4 separate regions of the Mus musculus genome follow, and all the other regions are reported to be linked to region 4. Evidence: microRNA targets listed by miRTarBase, many of them from high-throughput screens and not tested one by one. Region 4 holds a microRNA gene; each other region holds the end of a gene's coding sequence.
Evidence for each region. Region 4 holds the annotated microRNA mmu-miR-223-3p (UGUCAGUUUGUCAAAUACCCCA, at 1,800-1,821, opposite strand). A microRNA usually pairs through its seed, bases 2 to 8, with sites in the 3' UTR of a target mRNA and lowers its output. Matches are read on the target gene's strand: a 7mer-m8 pairs with bases 2 to 8, a 7mer-A1 pairs with bases 2 to 7 and ends in A, and an 8mer does both.

Region 1 (5,074 bases), not on the chromosome of region 4:
AAGGCTCATTAACATATTTGTGACATAAATATAATTTCAAGAGATAAATAATGTGACTTGATAATATTGAGCTTTTTGGGTACAATAACACTGAATATCGTGCAGATGACTTTCAGAAACACTGCAGCCAACCAGATAGCAGCCAGTACTACTACGAATCTTGGCGAACCCCGTAAGACTCCAAACAGGAGCTGTCCTTCACGCAGCTTACCAGGAAACTCATACCCATTGAGCCTGTTCACAACCACTGCAAAAAAAAACTCCAAAAGCCTTGGCTTCCTGTTTTTGATGGTCTGCATTAAAAGCAGAAGGGAAAAGATTGGGGAAAGCCACTGCTAAGGCAGAGAGCAGTGGTCGATAACACCCTGGCAGAGACAGGGAACACTGAAAACCAATGCTGAGACTTAATACATCTTATCAGTTCCTGGAGTGGGTATACCTAAGTATAGGCCACTCTCTCTAACTACTGTGCTTGACTGCCACAGATCCGAGCAGTGATGTTTCACAGTGGCCTCTAAGTCATTCCACATTTGCACTCGTATTGGGGGGAAATAAAATCTCTTTGGTTTTCATAAAGATTTGCATAACGAAAAACTACACAATTTCCACTGGGAACTGGGCTACCCCGATGACTCAGAGAGGAGAGTCTGAGAGTCGCTGCAGTGTGTGGCCACTCTTCCTGGCCGGAATTGCATGTGCATGCGCATGGTGGCTCTATGTCAGTGTTCTGAAGAGACAACTACTGCTACAACACCTGTTCCCTTACCTGTCTCTTTCTCTTTTTCTAGCCGGAGGCCACCCCCATCACCAACTCGCCCCACTATAATCCGTCCACTAGAATCCTCACTGTTAGACTAAACGAAGTGTCCGGCATGGCAATTAACCACTAATGATTTATGCAAACGCAGCACATTCGGTAACCTTTGCAGCTCAACCATGAGTAGTCGCATGTATGGACCTCTATAGGCAAGTAGCCAGTCTTACTAATGTGTTCACCAACTCATCTTCATTGCTCATGGTATGTCAGACCTTTGGGGTTTGACTCCGAAAACCTGCTAACCTGTAGAGAGGCTTAAATATGTTGTATTGACCAAGGTAGTTTTATACAGCAGCCCTATACTTTGGTACCATTTGTCTACCCAACATATATCAGAAGTTGCTTTGGAAGAGCTTTCTAAGCTGTCTACAGAGAAGCTTATGACGACTCTTAACAGATACAAGAGTGTGAGCTTGGAACCATACCGACCTTCCGCACATTCTGTTTAGGGCAGCAGAAACTCTGCCTTCTGATGTTAACGCCACCATTCAGTCCGCAATTGCTTATTTAGGCTTCTTCCCCCCACCCCCCTTATTTCATAGGACTGCTTTAAAAAAAAAAAAAAGCAAGGTTCTTAAATCAGCATTGCTGAAGATGAAAGCTTTTCAGGAGCCCGAGGCAGTCTGCAAAGGGCAAGTGCCCAGGGCTTGCCCTGGAGAGCCTCTCCTGGGGCTTGTGTGCTGTGCTTTGTGCTAGAGGCACAAGCACCATCCAGGCAAAGCGTGAGGGGTACTGGCAATCAGTTGATAGATTTGGCTCCTTTCAGAGTTCAAAGAAGAAGCAAAAACTAATTGCCATTCTAAAAGTGTCTGAGAAGATAGAATTTATTATCTTATTATTTACCTCTTTGTGAGCTATGATGAAGGAAGGCTGACACTGCAAGTGTTTAATTTTCCAGTTGATTGGACAGCATGGGTAACTAACTCCGTTTAGTTATTGTGACTATTATTTTGGCTGGAAAAAAGTTAAATGTATGCTAGCACATGATTTCTATGGTTTATATATAAATGATTATACAAGAATCCTTTTTAAAAAACGACTTTAGTGTCTCCACCCATTCCAGACTCCCTTAAATCTTACAGCCTACTCTGACACAATTGCATGGCAAGTATGGAACCTGGTATGGGAAGGTGATCCATCAGCGATGCCATGGTTTAAGAGCACGGCCCACGTGTTTCCAGCTTGCTCCTGAAAAACAACATCCTGGCCATACTGAGCTGCAGAACAAGTCTGTAGCCTCTCAGATCTCTAAACTTTACATGAGCAGCCTAGCCTAGAGGTTATTAGTTCAACCTCGAGGCTACGTTTTGAACTACCTATGACCAGATGGTTAGCACATAGGAACCAGCTAGAAGCCAAATGGAATTCTGTCTGCTAACCGCACCCAGACGGCAGAGCGGGCGGGCTTTCACCGAATTGTAGCGTCCCCAGACATTATTCCATAATCACAAAGGTAAATCAGGTTTTACTAACTGCAACATCTCCTTTTGAAGGCAGTCAACATGATTTGTATGCAAACTTCACTTTAATTTCCTGTGCAGTTTCTACCCGAAGCAAGTGGCTATAAAATATGATGTAAAAACTTTTAACCATTATTTTAAAAAGTTTTTTTTTCCAAGTGAAATGCCACTGCATTGAACTTATTCTAATGGGTTAGATCCCACTTTTAATTGGCAAAAATTAGAGAACATGCAACATACAAAGGGGTATTTTTCAACCTTTAAGTGACATAGAAGAGCTCTAATGTCTCTAAATTTTTTTCCCTGTTGAAAAAAAAACCGTGAATGGAACTCGTATAAGACATGCACATTGTCTTTGAAAACAGTGTCCCAACTAAATGAAAAAAAAAAACATACATTAAGCAAATGTTTATAATCAAACAACTCGTGGGCAATGAGGTCTCCCCACAAATCCCTCCTTTCAGCGCCCCCTTTGCTTCTTCCTCTGAATTCTCTAAAACAGGCAGCTAAGGAAATAGATACTTCAGGGTTTGGCTTTGTCCCTCCTCTGCTTGTACATCTTGCTATATTTCAAACCCTTCCTTCTGTTGGAAGAAACTAACTCAGAAAACCACTGGTGTGTTCTTGAATCAGCACAAACCAATGTCAAGGAAAACTGGGGATTTGTCTCTCCACATTTCTTCCCATTGATCCCAGACGGTCGTGAGCAACGGAATGGCACTTGTCATCCTTAGCTCTTGCTTCTTGATCCACAGATTCCTTGTCCCAAATGTCTCCCTGTGTCAGGACAGTTTTGTTCTCTTTGCTACCGAGCTATAATCCCTTACTCCACCACCCCCTCCCCAGAAGTTCAACACTGGCACCCCAGAATATTTTCAGATTGCTGCAGTTCAGAGGGTTTGCACTCTGCTAACAGCAGACACCAACATGAACGAAGCCTGAGGTTTCACTGGCGTGTGCGGAGTGCACGTCAGGCCTCAGGACGGGAATGTAAGCTTGAAGGACCTTCGCTTCGCACTCAGTTTCTAATCTCTCAGTCAACCTCCTGGTTGAGGACACCAAGGTTGTCAGCGCAATAGATGTAGTTTTATCTTGTCTAGCATAATAATAACTTTAAAAAGTGTTTTTAGGATTTGAAAAGGTACATGGTTGATAAGTAAAAGCCAGCTTTCCTGTCACATGCTAACTTACGCATGCAGATTGGCTAGCTGGAATAGCCAACCATTTGTGGATGGACTATGAAACAGGATCGATTTAGCACAGATATATTTCCAAAAATCATCTACCAAGAATACCTTCTTGGATATTGCCTTTAGGTGTGTTTTATAACATAGAAGAGCAGTGGGGTCTATTTACTGGCAATTTCTCTGTTTCTGCAGATACATACCCATTCTATCCAAAAGTGTAACCAAACAGTTCCTGTGATATAAGCATTCTAAATTTAGAATTAAGAGATAGCCACATAGATTCACTTGTGATTGTTAGACCGTATCCATACTCTAAACCATGAGATGGGACCTGACACCAGTCCGTGACAACTGTTGTTTTCTGTGCACTCGTTTTCTCTGCATGTCTCTAGGAATACACTATGTACATAGTGACCACGTATTTTGTGTCCTTTTGAGTAAGTAGGTTCAAAAGCAATTACTAAAACCCCATTAAGCATGAATGTGATTTTATGTGCATCATATATATACATATGAATATAAATATCAGTGTAAGCCTGTGCTCAGTATGTAAGAGTATGAATATATTTTCAACTGTGTTAATATATATGTTGGGAAGACCTGCCATAATATGATTATGGTAGTTCATTTCTCATAACATACATGAGAAACACAGGATCTCCTAACCTATTCTGTATATATTCTGAGGGGCACAAAGCTTATGATAACCATGATGACCACCATAACTATAACCATGACAAAGTAGCGTGATGTCTATGGTCCTTTGCATTGAAACCCACAGCACTGCTACCTAGGAAGGCATTACTTTTTGGGTGAGACTTTGGTTTTTAAAAAATGTAAGAAAGATTTGGAAGCTTTCTCCAGGGTCCCTAGTTAGTATTGTGTTCTCTGGGGATTGTTGAGCTGACTCTTACAAAGAGCTAAGTTAATCTGTGTTGTCCTGAGTTCTCTTCAGTAAAGTTAAAAGAATGCGAAGTCAGCAACACAATGAAAGTAATAGGCCTTTCTGAGCAAACCTGTTAAAACACGTGGGGGACAGGATACTCAATTCCTCGAAGGTATGTTATCTACTCTGACAGGTAAACCTTTGACATTCGGGAAACTGTGCAATCACTTTAAATTGATGGGAATCTCTGCAGGATGAGTAACAAATCCTAAACAGACATCCTAGCTGTCTTAACTCAGTGAGAGATGTCTGTGTTTAAGAAGGAAGCATGAGTTTGTAATTTCACCCAGCACTAGTAGCTGTGAGCTCAGAGTTCCTGCGAAAGAAGCCAACTTTAGAGAAATAATGGATAGTTCACCAGGTCCTTTAGTCTTTTCTAAAGAACTCAGTTTGTCTTCTAGATAATAATAGGCTGTCTGTCTAGCTGATGTGTTTAAAATTGTGTGGTGCTTTGTATGTGAAACTTTAACAATATTTTTGAAGTATATATAGTATATGCATTGCTAGTTGTGTATATATACATACATGTAGTAGTATCTGTATGTGTGGAGAGCAAGAGACAGGAGCCTCAAAGAATCTCCTGCTTAAGATGTGTTAGTACTGGTATACTGGTGAGACTCCTCATTCCACTGCTCAAGGGCTTCACATGTGGCTCAGCTCAAGG
Region 2 (5,074 bases), not on the chromosome of region 4:
ATAAATTCATGATTTTTAAGTTGTAAGAAAATTCAGAATTTCCAAATTAGAAGTATTTTTATCCTAAACTTTTGATATTTTAATAGGTATTCTTTATTTTCCTAGCCATGAATCATCTTAATGGGCAGAAGATGTATGGAAAAATTATTCGTGTTACTCTCTCTAAACATCAGACTGTGCAACTACCTCGAGAGGGACTTGATGATCAAGGGCTAACAAAAGATTTTGGGAATTCACCACTGCACCGTTTTAAAAAACCGGGATCCAAAAACTTTCAGAACATTTTCCCTCCTTCTGCTACCCTTCACCTGTCTAACATCCCGTGAGTATCTATTTCAGCTCATGACTGAGCACAGTCATATTATCAGCCAAGCAGGTCTATGGTTATCTGTATTCATCTGGACTCTCCCTGTCTTCTTTTTCTAGCCCTTCTGTAGCAGAAGAGGATCTGCGAACTCTGTTTGCCAACACCGGGGGCACTGTGAAAGCATTTAAGTTTTTTCAGTAAGCAAGCTTCTTTGTCTTAAAATGTGTGACTTGATAGAACTTAAATTTTTTTTTCAAATATATCTATTTATTTACCTCAAATGGGTGAAAATCAGTGTTTAAACTCTTCTTATGAAGTATCTAATTTCATAATTTTGTTTCAGAAGAGATCACAAAATGGCTCTTCTTCAGATGGCAACAGTGGAGGAAGCTATTCAGGCTTTGATTGATCTTCATAATTATAACCTTGGAGAAAACCATCATCTGAGAGTGTCTTTCTCCAAGTCAACAATCTAAGCACGGGAGATGAAGATGGCGGGCAGATCCCATTGTTGGTGTCATCACCTATTGACTGTTCAGAAAAGTGGGGACCAGAGTTTGATTTTTTTCATGCTGTTATCATTCCTTGGTTATAAAATGAAATGGCATATGTAAAGGCAGAGTTGCTAACTGCTGTGTTTCATCTGTTCAATAGGGAAGCCATTTTTGTCTGTTTAAATTTTTAGTTTAATTTTGCTTTTTTTTTTTTTTCCAACTTAGTTGACATACGTGCCTTACAAAGGAAAACTAGTGTTGCTATTCTGCATTTACTAGGAAAAAGGAATTGGTTGTTTAGGGCACATCGTTATGTGGGAATTAAAATATGTTTGGGCAGGGGTGTGTCAAAAGGTTAAGTTTTTATTTCTCCTGCTTGGAACTTTCTTTGAATTATTGGCTTATCACATTTCTTTCTATTTAATCTAATAAGATACTTGATACTGAGAGTATAAAACAGCATTTTTAGTTTTTACTATCTTAGGCTTTATTGCTTTTGAAAACATTGGCCTTTTGTATCTCACAAATCTGGTCTAGATTCAGTTATGAATGTAGGCATTAGTTAAAATTAACAAGATGCAGAGTATTAATTTCTTAAGACAAGTGATTTCTGTAAGTTTGAGCCCTATGTGGAAAGCATTGTGGAACCTTAACCTTTTTGTACACACTCTTGTGGGACGTGTCATATAAATGTCAGCACTAAGTAATGTCTTGTTTGTGGCTGAATATTTTTCGTAGATGTTTTTGAAGTTGACATGACTTACGTGCATTTAAATATATATTGCCATCCTTAGTTTGTAATTAAGATTTGGAAAATGGTTGTGGATTTCTGAGCATGTGCAGACTGGTCTAGCTAGTTCAGGAACTGGTGCATGTATTTTTCAAAGACAAAGAAAGTGTACTGCGAAAACTTGCAGGAAGATTAATTTTGTGGCAGTTTTCTAAAACTGACAACCAGGTGGGACCAAAGTTTATGTGCCTTTAGTCTTAATTTACCTTGCATTGTAATATTCAGTTTTAATAAATCTTCAAAATATTTTGTATTTAGGAATAGATCTGACTTTAATAAAAACATGGCTCAGAATCTACAGGTCAAATTTATTTGAACAGTTCTTGTCAATCTGAATTGTTGATTCTGTTAAATGACCAATACTTTTTGAAATTGATGTACTTAGTTTCAAGATTCATAGATTCTGTTATCTATGTAGACAGAATGGTCATGTATATTTTCTATTAGTTGAGTTTTTACATCTTTAGAAATGTAAAATTCAGTATAGTTTGAAAGCGGCACAATTAAAAATTAATTTTCTAACAAAGTTGGGAGGTTTGATGGTTGTTTAATTTCACTTTGTGTGTACTCTGCTTACCTCTGTAGCATGCTCAATAAACACTTCTGTAGCTCTGTATTCACCTTTTCTGTCTTTCTCTGCTGCCTTTTCTCTCTCTCCTTTGTTTTCACTCCACTGTGCTTCTGAGTTCATGTTTACTCTGCCAGGGTGGGAAAGGAGTAATACTATCACAATCCTATGGCTTTATACCATAAATAAATCCAGATGCTGTGAAAATGCACCAGCTGTTCCTTTTTTTAATGCAAAAGTCGGTAACTGCTTTTTCAGGAGGACACATATTAAACATTTCCCACCCTGTTTATAATCTGCTTTAAAGACATAACTTCTATTGTAGCTTGTTAATTCTCTCTATCTCTTTTGTTGTTGTTGTTGTTTTCCCGTAGATTTATGCACTAATAGGTCTTTTGGATTTGCCATGCTCTCTTGCTGCAGTTTCATCTTTCATCTTTGTGTCTGCTCTAGATTTCCTACTAATTTTAGACTACTACTGAGTTTTAACAAAGGGTTCTGCTGTTACTGGAAAGAAAGGACTATGGCATTGGCTTCTATTTGAGTGCCATAGGGTATATACATGCAGGCTTTTAAACCGCAGGTGCTGTCCTCCTCACTCTTTATACTGATGCTGTCATCAAGCTATTTTCTTTTTTTTTTGGTAACTTTATATATACAAATACTGGTATCAATTAACTTTGGTGTTAATACATGTATACCTCAAAGTCACACACTGGACATTAGGGTCATTTTATAAAAATGAAGAATCATGTTTAAAAGTATTGTTCTTTTCACAAGAGTCTACTCAACTCCAAGAAGTACAGTAAGTAGGAATGGTTCCGTTTCAGAGTTAAGAATTTGAGTGTTGCTCTTGTTTGTTTGTTTGTTTGTTTGTTTTTAAAGTGATGTTGCAGTATTGTGACCAGGTACAGGAAGATCAGCTATGCCTTAATTCTGTTAGTTTACAACCAGCATTGGGACAGAACTGTGTGTGGTTTTCTTTGGGATTGCATGGAGGCTCCAATACTTGAAAATAGATGTTGCTCTTTGTTTCAGGTAGTTATTTGTAGGTTACACTTGCTTAAAAGGAAAAACAAGGTTCTAGGCTACATTAAGACACTGGGAGGAGTTCCAGATCGCTCTCTAATGACAGAGAGCAAGGTCCCTCCCCACCTCCTGCCCATCCAGGGTGTGGCTGGCTTTACCCTCTTTTAATAATTTCCATCAATATGGTCTTATTTTAAAAGTATCAAGATATTGAAGTGGGAAGTTTGACATCTAGAATTCTTAAAGTTCAGTGCATTAGATTAGAATAGCACTCTATCAAAAGAACATGAGGTAAAAGTCCTGTTGCTTTATGTTGTTATGCTCACTGCCGCAGTCTCTCACACTAGCTAACCTTACAGCATTTTCAGTGTTCAGCTGCTTTGTTAGTAAAAGCTTTCTCTTGGGAATTTAGAAACAAATAAATTGAATTTTTATAATTGAGAGAAAAACTTTCTTTTAATAAACAAGATTTGCTTTTGACAATGTATTTCAAATCACCTACATAAGAAGGGGATTGATTCATATTGATTACATTTTATGTTGGACACCTATTTCTTTGTATGAAATCCACTAAGACCTTTGCCAGGAAGAAGGTAACAGAGTTCTATGAAATCGGTAAAAATTTTATTAGCAATATTGAGGTTTTTAAGGTTAGGATAAGAAACTATGTTAATTGGCATAATTAGTTCATATGTATCTGTTTAAACTACCAGATGTATAGTTTCAGAGGAAGGACAATTTTCCTAAGTCTAAAAGTAAAATGGAGTCCATAAAGTTACACCCAGTACTCAGGAAGCTGATGCAGGAAGGGTAGGCTGTCCCAGCTGTGGCACTCTGTGTTAAGCAAAAAAATGTTAAGTGCCAGTATTCCTACCTTGCCAGGTTTGCCTGTAGTTATCAACACTCCAGATCGTCCCACTGTCTTTCTTACTGTTGCAAAGAAATGTTTGTTAATGTTTTAAAATCACCTAAATGCTACTTTTTAACAGTAGAGTGCCATGACAGAATGCATCCCACAGCTCAAGGATGCCCAGCCTCAAATTTCATTTGAACTACTTGATAGTTGAGTAATAAAGTATAGCTTTTTGGAGTTACAGACTCCATATAAAAGGCTTATATTATGTATAAGCCTTTACAATTTGCTGTGAAACTTGAAGATAATTCTAACCATACTAAAGATTTTTCCAGCATAAGATGGAAAAAACGGCATAATTTTCTGAGTAACCCAGGACTTTATACAAGATGGGAACATCGGTCTCCATTCAGAGCATAAGAATATAGAATTATTTCATGAAATTGAGCACACAAAGGGTTCTATTTCAGCTGAACACTGCTTTCTAGAAAGTCTGATAAGAAATGTGAAAAATTATTAAACTGGTATTGGAGTGTTGGCTGGTTGTCAGTCTCCGTGACATAGTCATTTAAGAAGTCTTACATAGACTTTATTTCCTGTAGGTTATCTTCGTAGTTTGATTTTGTGAGTAGTGTACATTTTAAAGTTACATTATCAGTAATTCAAAGTAAAAAACAAGTGTGTAAAGATGGAGAGAGCAGCATGCATCAGAGCTGCCCACTCGGCTCTGCTGAGTGTACACTGCCTTGCCTGCCCCCTTTCCTACCTCTTTCCCATCTTTTTTTTTTTAATTCTTTTTTTATTAGATTTTTCTTTATTTACAAAAGAAGTCATTAGATATGCACTCACTGATAAGTGGATATTAGCCCAGAAACTTAGAATACCCAAGATACAATCTGCAAAACACAAGAAAATCAAGAAGAGGGAAGACCAATGGGTGGATACTTCATTCCTCCTTAGAATAGGGAACAAAATACCCATGAAAGGAGTTACAGAGACAAAGTTTGGAGCTAAGACGAAAGGATGGACTATC
Region 3 (5,074 bases), not on the chromosome of region 4:
CCTAACAATAGATAGGAGAGAAACAAAGTAGAAAAAAAAAATCTTCCAATCTAATTTCTTTCCAAATCCCCACCCCCCCACTCCTGTTTGATCAACAGCCAGCTGCCCTGCCTCTTGGGGCCCTAGCATCTGTATACCCTCTAAAAAGTTCCCAGAATTCCAAATGTCAAAACTGATCTGCAGCTGGCAAAACCGCACCTCTATCAGAGCACGAGGCAAATCATAATCAGCTGCTTCAGCCTCATGTCTTCACATCTGTGATTAAAACAAAAGCATATTCTTATGTCTGTGTTTTGTAAAGAAAGTGAAATTCCAGAATTGTCAGTACACTTTTTTTGTTTTTTCTTTTTCAGGAACAAAGAAAGGGTGAGCATGGTGCTGTCCCAGGGTTCTTTCATAAGATCGTGGATGTGTGTGGTTTGGAGCTGAGCTGAGCCCTGGGGGTGGGAATAGGGGTGGGGTGGAAGTAGCTGTTTTGGAGAGGATGACAGCCTAGACTTCTGTTCTTGTCTCCTGAACTTTTCCTTCCTTCTAAACACTCACTTTTTCTGCAAAGTATGCCTCCATTCTGGCCCTGATAGTGCACAGATACATCAATTACTCGGGCCTGAGTGTCCCCCATTTCTGGTTTGCCCACAGGACTGCACCGGGTAAGAAGGTCATTTACAGCCAGCCCAGTACTCGAAGTGAGGTGAGTGTACCTGCCCCGAGGAGGGGAGGCCTTGTGCTTCAAGTGGCCGTTTCTAGCCTCTTTGCGTGTTTGTGAGCAAAACGAGACTGTGAAGTTGACTGGATGTTTTATTTCCCAGGGGGAATTCAAACAGACCTCGTCGTTCCTGGTGTGACCTGCTGCGGCTCCTCCGTTGTCCATTTGCCTTACTCAGGTGCTACAGGTTCCAGCCCCCTGCTGGCTGTAGCTGCACAGGATGCCTTCAATGTCTTCTAGGTCCCACAGGACCCCTTGCTTTTATTCTAGCTAGGGTATAAATTTAAAAACATCATCTACTTCCCCCTCCTCTTTCCCACCCTCCCTCCTTTCCTTACCACCATTGGGTGGCCCGAGACTAATTACAAAGTTTTCGTTCCCCATTCCTATGTGGGATTGGGCAAGAGTCCTAGACTAGACAGTAATAGTGGCTGGGCTGACAGGAACCCAAACCAATACCTGGCTGTAAAGGCCTCTGAATAAGGACTTTAAGCCTAGCTCCCTGCTTTCTCCTCCCCGGATGGGGTGCCAGCTACTCTAGAGGGGGAGCTGCAGAAAGGAGGGGCTGAGGATGGTGACCTCAGGTCTCTAGTCTTCGGAGCCTCTCTTCTGTCTCCACAAAATGTGCCACTGGGATTCTCCTGGATTCAAAGTAAACTGACATGGTGTCCGTACGAGGTGGGAGAGCTCTGTTAGCTCCCAAGAGACTTGGAGTAAGAAAGATTTAAAGTGATCTAAAGAAAAGGCTGGAACTGGTGGCCATTAGTCACTCTTCATTTGGCTGGAACTACCGCATGGACCCTTTGAAGATATGTGTGGATGGAGAAGATACGAGCTTTATAGTCTTGGCTCTTTGGTGGCCTCGTGTGTGTGTGTGTGTGTGTGTGTGTGTGTGTGTGTGTGTGTGTGTGTGTGTGTGTGTGTGTGAGAGAGAGAGAGAGAGTTGTAAATTGATATTGTTATATAGAAGGGCTTTCTAGCTCTTTGGCAAGGTTGTGTTTCTGTGTGTTTATATTTGACAGATGTTGCTGGAAATAAAAACTTCATTTGACAGACTTCTTTTTTGTTGAACATGGAATATTTTAGGGATTGTGAGCTACTTTGTATAAACAAGAAAAGACACAAAAGTTCTGCTTCCCAGCAACCCATGGCTGATTCCCAGGACTATATTCTTAACTCAAGGCAAAGCTTCCGGGCATCAGAGCTGTTCCGTAGCCTCCTGCTGCTGCGTGGGCGAGGAAGGTGCTGCTGTGCTGGAGGGGGATTTCGTGAAGTGGGCGGAGGAAGTGTCTGTGCACTCTCCTGCCTGGCCTTCATGGTGGACCTCCCCAAGTCGTCCTCTAAGGGAGAGTTCCTCCATCATCAAATGTTTGAGAAAGCAGCAATTAGCAAGATAGGTCTGATGGTCATTGCTCTCTTACCATTTGGGCCCTTCTATAGAGAAGAAGAATAATGAACGAGGCTCTCATAACTACGCTGCGCTTCAGACGTCTCAAACTTCAACCAACTCGGCTGTTTTTTATTTTGGCAGGATCTGTGAAGTAAGGACCGATTGGTTGGAAAAGGGGTTCGGTTGGGAATGAAGTGACAGTTTTCCTCAGGGTGCATGGGGACAGTTTAATTAAACTATTCCATTCCATACTTGGAATTTTTTTTATGTTTTTTTTTTTGTTGTTGTTGTTTTTACTTTCGAGACAGGGTTGATTTTCTTGGTTTTAAGACAGCTACAGGGCTGGCGAGATGGCTCAGTGGATAAGAGCACTGACTGCTCTTCCAAAGGTCCTGAGTTCAAATCCCAGCAACCACATGGCGGCTCACAACCACCCATAATGAGATCTGACACCCTCTTCTGGTACGTCTGAAGACAGCTACAGTGTATTAATGTATAATAATAAATAAATCTTTAAAAAAAAAAAAAAAGACAGCTACAGCCGGGCAGGAGTGGCTCATGCCTTTAATCCCAGCACTTGAGAGGCAGAGGCAGGCAGATTTCTAAATTCGAGGCCAGCCTGGTCTACAGAGTGAGTTTTCCAGGACAGCCAGGGCTACACAGAGAAACCCTGTCTCAAAAAAAATCAAAAAAGTAAAAAGAAAAATAAAATTTAAAAAAGACAGCTACAATGTACTCATATACATAAAATAAATCTTTTAAAAAGAAAAACCAACCAACAACAAAATTCACTGGGGATCCATCTAAAATAATAGTAACATAATAAAGCCTGTCTAAGAAATAAGGGTTAGGGTATTTTCCTCTACGGTGGTCTTTTTTTTTTTTTTTTTTTCCCTTCGAGACAGGGTTTCTCTGTGTAGAACTCAGAAATCCGCCTGCCTCTGCCTCCCGAGTGCTGGGATTAAACACACCCGGCTTACGGTGGTCTTTTGATGGTCACTGACCGTCCTCTGATGAGACTGTAATAAACACAGCTGTCTTTGTGTTCTGTGTGTCTATTGAATTTATTTGCTGGAAAGCAGAAGCCAAAGAGTCTCTAACGAGGTATTTTCTTGTTCTGCTTTCGTGTGATGTCTGTTCTTGCAGGTGTGTGCTTGCATGTAGGTGCGACGAACGTGCAGGCCAGAGATCAGTGTTAGGTGGCTTCCTCAATAGTTTTCCACCTCTCTCAACTGAACCTAGAGATTACCAAATTTTGTATATTTTATAAACTCAAGCCCTGCAGGGGGCCAGCACACACACACACACACCCCGCTCCCCATGAGAAGCTCCAGCAGCTAGGCCCCGCCCCTGTCTTTCCTCATAGCCAGAAAGGATAAAACAGCTGTAACTGTAGTTCTAGACCCACAATGTGGGGCCGGTAATATGGCTAAGCCCCGCTCCCAGGCTTCTCTAACTGCTCCAAGGGTTGTTTTCTAATGGCTGTAATGGCCATTCCCAGCCTGAGGCAGGAGAATGGCCAGGCCCCACCCTATATGGAAAAAAAATTCCACCAATCCTGAGTTTGCCCTAAAGATCAGACCACACAATGCCTCCAATCCTAGGCCACTTTGGAAAGCCCGTCCCCAAAGGAGCCCATATAAACCCTGCGTTGGTGAACTCTCTATGATAAGCACAAGCTCTCTTAGCCCTACAAAGTCCCTTATGGGTAGTATTGCTTGGTGATCTTGCCTAGCAGAAAGTGGTTGGATCAAAGATGGCTGCCTTCCTCACAACATTTCTGCTTGCAAAATAATGAACCCTCCTAGCAGATAGCTGAGAGTTGCCACGACAACAGAAAGCACTATCTAAGCAGAGAAAGAGTGGAAGCTCAACTTACTACCAGAAGACATGATTATGACTTCCCCTTATTAGCCCACCCCCCCCTTTTTTTAAAAAAAAAAGATTTATTTTATTTATATGAGTATTCTGTCTTCAGACAAACCAGAAGAGGGCATCAGATCCCATTACAGATGGTTGTGAACCACCATGTGTTTGCTAGGAATTGAACACAGGACCTCTGGAAGAGCAGTCAGTGCTTTTAACCGCTGAGCCAGCTCTCCAGCTCCCCCTCCCCCCCCCTTTTTTTGAAGGATTAATATGTTCTCCAAGCTGACTTTGAACTCACTGTAGCTGAAGATGATCTTGAATTCTTGATCTGCCTACCTCTGCCTCCTAAATTCTGTCAGAACAAGTGTATGACAACACAGGGCTTTCTCTCCTTTTTTCTCTTTCCTTTCTCTCTTACCATCTTTTCCTTTTTTCTCCTCCCATCCCATCCCCTGCCTTCCCCTCCCCTCCTCTCCCCTTCACTTCTCTTTTCTTTCACACTGGGTCTCACTGTGTGACTTTGGCTGACCTGGAACTGAATTGGCTAGTGGATCAGTTTTTGCAAACCTCCTTCCTCTTTCTGTTCCGAACACTTCTTGCTAGAATACAAGGCGTGCACCATAACTTCTTCTCTTTTCTTTTACTCGGTTTTAAAACTTCCTGACAAAAACAAAACAAAACAAAACAAAAAAATTAGCTGGGTGTGGTGGTGCTTATGCCTTTAATCCCAGCACGCAAGAGGTGGAGGCAGGTGGAGAACGCAGTCTGGTCTCAAAACAAAAACCGAAAACAAAAAAAAATGCTTTTCTGACAGCTGCACCCCTAGGATGGGGTTGGGGAGATGGCTCCGTGGGTAAGAGTTTTTACTGAACAAGCACAAAGAGCTAAATTTGAATCCGGAACATCCACATGGAAGCCAAATGTGGTCTGTAATCCCAGCTCTAAGGAGGGCAGAGACAAAAGGATTCCTGGAGACTGGCTGTGAGCCTCAGTTTCAGTGAAGGACCCTGTCTCCAGGGAATAAGACAGAGTTTGACAGAGGAAGATGCCCAGTGTCCTCCCGCAGCCTCTGGGGTGGGCTTGGGCGCCCGCATCCATCACACACATTT
Region 4 (5,076 bases):
AGTGTCAGAGATGACTTCTTCTTCTCCATCTCACTTACCAGCCTCCACAACCTGGGTACCACCCAGTAGAAACCTCAGCTTCCTTCATGAAACATCTGTGAGTCCAGCCCTGAAAGCCTTGAAAACACCCTTTATCTCATTCTGCTCTTTAGAATTAATCCCTGGGCTTGAAGAGAGAATGTTTATTGAAATTGCCCTAGTAAAGTGAGCCACAAATTCAGGGAACCCCCAACACTGGAACCACCAGGAATGTCTCCTATTCTTGCATGTGAAAATGTTTACAGATTACTTATCTGAACATTCACATACCACAAATTGGGAAGTGAAGCCCAGAGAGAAATGAAGGTTTGTCAAAAGTAACATACATCAAGTCAATGGCAGAACAAAGACTGGAGGTTAGACCTGTGGATTTTTAGCAGTGTGTGTACTTTGCTGCAGACATCTTCTGAAGATGGTCTTTGTCCCTAAACAATGGTATTTTTCCATGCAGGGTAAGCCAGTAAGTCATCCCTAGATAGAGATGCATCCCTCCGACAATTCTGAGCAAAATTGGGGTAACAATATGGGTCTTGTTATTTAGGTCACTGGTTAGTGGGTGAAAAGTTAAAGAATGAAAGTAGGTATCTCCAGAACCAAGGGAGAGTATGGAATTTCTCCAGAACCAAGGGAGAGTATGGAATTTCTCTAAAGAAGCTTGCCAAAATATATGTTATGAAATGTTAGACTCTGGAGAGAGGGATTGGAGATGCTTCATTTTATAGTTCTATATTAGAAGTTCACCCCAGTGCAATGATAGAATATTAAAGGCTCAGAAAATTCTGTTTAAAAAGACACGTGTAAACCAATAATTCAAAAAATTTTTCCCTCTGAGTCTATTCTTTCTTCTTGCCCTCCTGCCCCAGACCTAAATCTTATTTCTCAGAGGAAAAAAAAATCCATTTTGGTTACCATCTTGTATACACTATAGCATTAGAATACCCACAGTTTGATTTATTTTTTTCGCAAAACCCTGGTTGGTATTTGACCTATATAGCAAAAGGTTATTGACTAGTAAAACATCAATTAATTGGTAAATATTTATTAATAATTAAAATGTTGGACAATGGTATGAGAGACAGCAATCAACTGAATATAATAAGCTCTAGATTCTTACAATATAATAGGGAATTCAAGAACATACCCTGGAAAAATTCACTGACAACTTTAGAAGATGTGTTGGATGGTAGGACATATAATAGCACATACCAGTATGTGGTTAGCCAAGGAGTAAAGAAAAGTATAGGTTAACTTTCAATAGTGCCAAGAGGAATTGGAATTTGGTAGTGTCTGAAAGCCCAATGAAGATAAACAAGAAGGTTCTTTTAAGAATGATAAAAGCAAAGTGGAAAAGAGAAAATGTAGGTAGCTTAAGATGTGCTCCGAAGGCCAGACAGTGGATATTTATTTCCTACTTTCTCATAGAATTCATGATGCTTGTATGAAAATTCTGCTATTCTGGCTGCAAGAAGAGGAAAGTGAAAGAAGACATTAATAATAAATCAAATAATACTCTCATTCCCTGTATCCCTCATGTACCACTATGCAGTCCATGGCATTTTCACAATGTACACAGATGCATACCAGACTTGTAGACCCCAGAGCTGCATCGTTCCTACTCTGATGTTCTCTGAATAAATGTTATAGTTCCCTTAAAGACATAGAATAACACCAGAGAGCTTCATGTTTCATAAGCATTCATATGTAGGCAGCAGGCTATGTGCTCTGTCCTGGACCTGGAGCTGATAGGCATGAGCCACACTTGGGGTATTTGACAAACTGACACTCTACCACACAGAGTGTCCAACTCAGCTTGTCAAATACACGGAGCGTGACACTGCAGATGGCCAGATCAGGAACCTCCACTGGGCAGCAAGAACATGCTGGAAGATGTGCAACTGGAAAGAGAAAAAAATAGGGTGATTATATCTTACCCTAAGTGTGAGACAAATGGCAGACACTAACATGACTGACTAAGACACACCAAAAGAGGGAAGTGAACAAAACACGCTAATGCTCCAAACAAAAACGGGGATCCTGGGTGTTTGTCTGGAGATTCTGGTGGCCCAAGCCTCAATTAACTCTTCTATTCAGCTGAAACAGGAAAAAATTGTCATCATTCTGTCCTCGGGGACAATTTATGTGTTCCTTCCTCCTATCAACTTCTTGTATGCTCTGTTTACCCTGGTTATGTACCTAGATGTTGATTTTTAAAACTGGATTTGAATTCTACCTCTACCATTAACTAGCTGAACACCTTAAATAAATGAGTTTATGTCCCTGAAACCTACTTCTTCCATAGCCACAAAAATGCCCATGAAATCATGGCAAGAATATGTAATAATGCATATAAAGCCATTAATTTAGTGTTTGTTACCTAACAAATACTCAAAAATTGTGGCTATAGCCAGGTATGATAGTACATGTGTGCATACAAGCTTTCATAGACAGAGATAGGAGAACCTCAGATTTAAAGTCAATTTGGGCTATATAATACTACCCTTTCTCAAACAAAAAAGTAAACAATCAAGATCTAGAGATAAAACTCAGTAGCAGAACACTTACCTAACTTGTACAATACTCTGTATTTGATCCCCTGTACATAAATAAAAGTGACTAAAATGTGCTTTAAAATTAAACATATAAGATAGATACTAACAGGGGAAAAGATAGATAATTTATTTAACAGAATTGAAACAGTAATTTCTTGTGGCCTTAGCCGGCTTTGTCTAACTTGGTTGCCTTTTCTCATAAGCAGTAAAGAATTAATGATATTAAAATGCCCTTATAAGTCATCTAGTTTTACCCATTCAAGATTATAAATGAGAAAATGAAGTCTGATGTTTAGGGAAAGACTTCCAAAAGGTCATAAAACAAGTTGTTTACAGTTTGGGAATTATATCATCCATCAGCTCATTGTGTCCCTTGGCTGTCCACCCCACCACTTTTTCTTGTCTGCTTTTTATATTCCCTTGCAAAAGGGAGAGCAACAGCAACAAAGAGCAAAACAGGCAGTGGATTTTGCAGGGAAGTATTAAGATGTTTGAACTCATAGCTACCAGGGCAGCTGCCAGAAGAGCCAAGCCATCTCAATTTATTTGATATTTTGTTTAGCATCATGATCCTGTTATTCAAAATGCTTGATAGTATCAAATTTTGTCCTACCCAGGTTTAAAGTTTTCTTGGGCATCAATTGTCTTCTCTAGAAATAGAGACAGAAATCTTACATCTCAAGGTCTTGAAAAATGTTGGATGAGACTTCTAGAGCTTTTTAGAAGGGAGCTTAAAGAGACCTTATTTCCAACTCTGGAGCTAGTAAAAGCCAAGGAAAGTGATTAAAAGAGAAAGGAGTAATGGGTTATTGGTTTTGGTTTTCTTGACAGCATCTCTGCTTATCATCTGCTGTAAGGAGAGCTAGACACTTTAGAGATATCCATAGCCTCTCAATTGCCCTATCCGACCTCACATAACCCAAGAACACTGGAAAAGAGCCATGAAAGGGGCTAAAGAGTTCTAGTGCACTGACTTAATAGATTATTATAAATACTGTTTTCCAGGATTGATGGAGAAGTCAGTCCTTAAGCTGGGTAAGGGACTATTTCATTTTCATTCTTGATGTTCCAGTTCACACCTATTCAGAGGAATACATATAAGAGAAGCAAGTTTAGTTGATTAAAGTTAGTCAGACCCATAAGAATGAAGACATAGATGACTACATAGTCAGTCTTCATGACGCAAATTGAAAGGCATAAGCTTGGTAAAAGAGGTATAAGATTTTACCAAAAATCTATAAATGTCCAGAATAAGCCACATATCAGAAAATATATTTGGTGATAAAGAAGTACTCAGGACCATGTCTTAATATCCAGATTTTTTTCAATATAAGGAGAGTCACCTGCCTCAGTTGCAGGATACCCATTATTTCTTGGTATCTCAGTCCTCCTAAAGCAGAAGAAAAAGGACACTGTCCTGGGCTTAGACTGAGTTGTAGTACAGGTTTTCTGTGTGGCCTTGGGAAACTACCTTTTCTTCTCTCAGGACCTCTGTTCCTCACATATATATTTGTCCTCACGTCTATGTGCCTTTTAAATTCTGAAATTGGAGTAGTGACTTACAAAACTAGAAAAAAAAGAACCTTTCATGTTTTAGTCATACCTTTCAGACCACCAGCAGTTTTCTAAAGGATGTTCAGCTCTGCCTAGAGGTGTACATTCAAGCAGCAGTCTCATCTTCTTTCCCAACCAAAGACTGGTAACCTTCAAAATAAGAGACATAGAGGCTAAGACATTAAATAGCATCTCACCTTTGTCTTTCTCTTCTCTGCAAAAGGGACTCAAACACTGAGTGCTAGACTATAGAAACAACTCACCCAAAGAAAAGTAACAGATATAGAACAAAATTTAAAATGCTATTTAGAACTCCTAACTCCTGGCTCTGATAAGCATTTAACTTCTACATGACTATCTTCTAAAAGCCATCATTTGTTAGAAATTTTTGTGTCCCTTCTCTCTATCACATGGATAGAAAGTGAATAGAAACCTTCATCAGTCTTATCTTTGACCCTTTATCAGTAACTGGGATCTGAGAGTCAGTTAGGCATATCCAGAACACTGAAAGCTGTTGTGGGCACTGTTTCAGCATGGGAATCTAAGAGAACAAGTAGATACTATACCTGTCATTGAAGTGGTGCCTTTGTCTTGGATGGGATATAGGTGCTGAGCCGAACTATAGAGGCCACAGAAAGCTGAGTTTTATGTTGTGAGCAGGAAGGTCACATGTTCTGAAGGACTCTTGGTGTCATGAAGAGGAAACAGAAATGAGGAAGATAAAGTTGAGGCTAACCAACGGAAATCTGGGTACAAAATGACAAAACAGAGCTATTGTGAAAGGAGTAGTTGCTAATGCAGCAATAGCCCCTACTGCTCTGTCTCCACCCATTCTCAACCAACCTCCAAAAACACTGACTTCCCATGCTACAGAGTGGGAAAGCAGGAAGTACAAGTTTCCTTTGTGTTCTGCCTATGAAGCAAGGAAGTTTCC

Region 1: miRTarBase lists Dnm3 as a target of mmu-miR-223-3p. The part of its 3' UTR that is shown has no 7-base or 8-base seed match.
Region 2: the mRNA of Ptbp2 is a reported target of mmu-miR-223-3p. Seed matches in the 3' UTR shown: 8mer at 1,747-1,754.
Region 3: miRTarBase lists F11r as a target of mmu-miR-223-3p. Seed matches in the 3' UTR shown: 8mer at 1,362-1,369.

The regions. Positions count from the first base shown.
Region 1 is chr1:161,987,806-161,992,879 of GRCm38, reverse strand. Dnm3 (dynamin 3) reads left to right here. Exons shown (of 21, transcript NM_001038619.2): 21 at 789-5,074. The coding sequence ends at 858. Among named protein-coding and RNA genes, the nearest start is that of 4930558K02Rik, 11 kb to the right of the region's middle.
Region 2 is chr3:119,716,037-119,721,110 of GRCm38, reverse strand. Ptbp2 (polypyrimidine tract binding protein 2) reads left to right here. Exons shown (of 14, transcript NM_001310711.1): 12 at 106-322; 13 at 427-504; 14 at 654-2,369. The coding sequence ends at 783. Among named protein-coding and RNA genes, the nearest start is that of Ptbp2, 65 kb to the left of the region's middle.
Region 3 is chr1:171,462,250-171,467,323 of GRCm38, forward strand. It overlaps F11r (F11 receptor), which reads left to right. Exons shown (of 10, transcript NM_172647.2): 8 at 354-366; 9 at 640-691; 10 at 810-2,344. The coding sequence ends at 845. Among named protein-coding and RNA genes, the nearest start is that of F11r, 27 kb to the left of the region's middle.
Region 4 is chrX:96,239,629-96,244,704 of GRCm38, reverse strand. It overlaps Mir223 (microRNA 223), which reads right to left and starts at 1,888; the gene lies at 1,779-1,888. It overlaps F630028O10Rik (RIKEN cDNA F630028O10 gene), which reads right to left and starts at 4,779. Exons shown (of 3, transcript NR_030718.1): 1 at 4,709-4,779; 2 at 4,192-4,292; 3 at 1,063-3,667.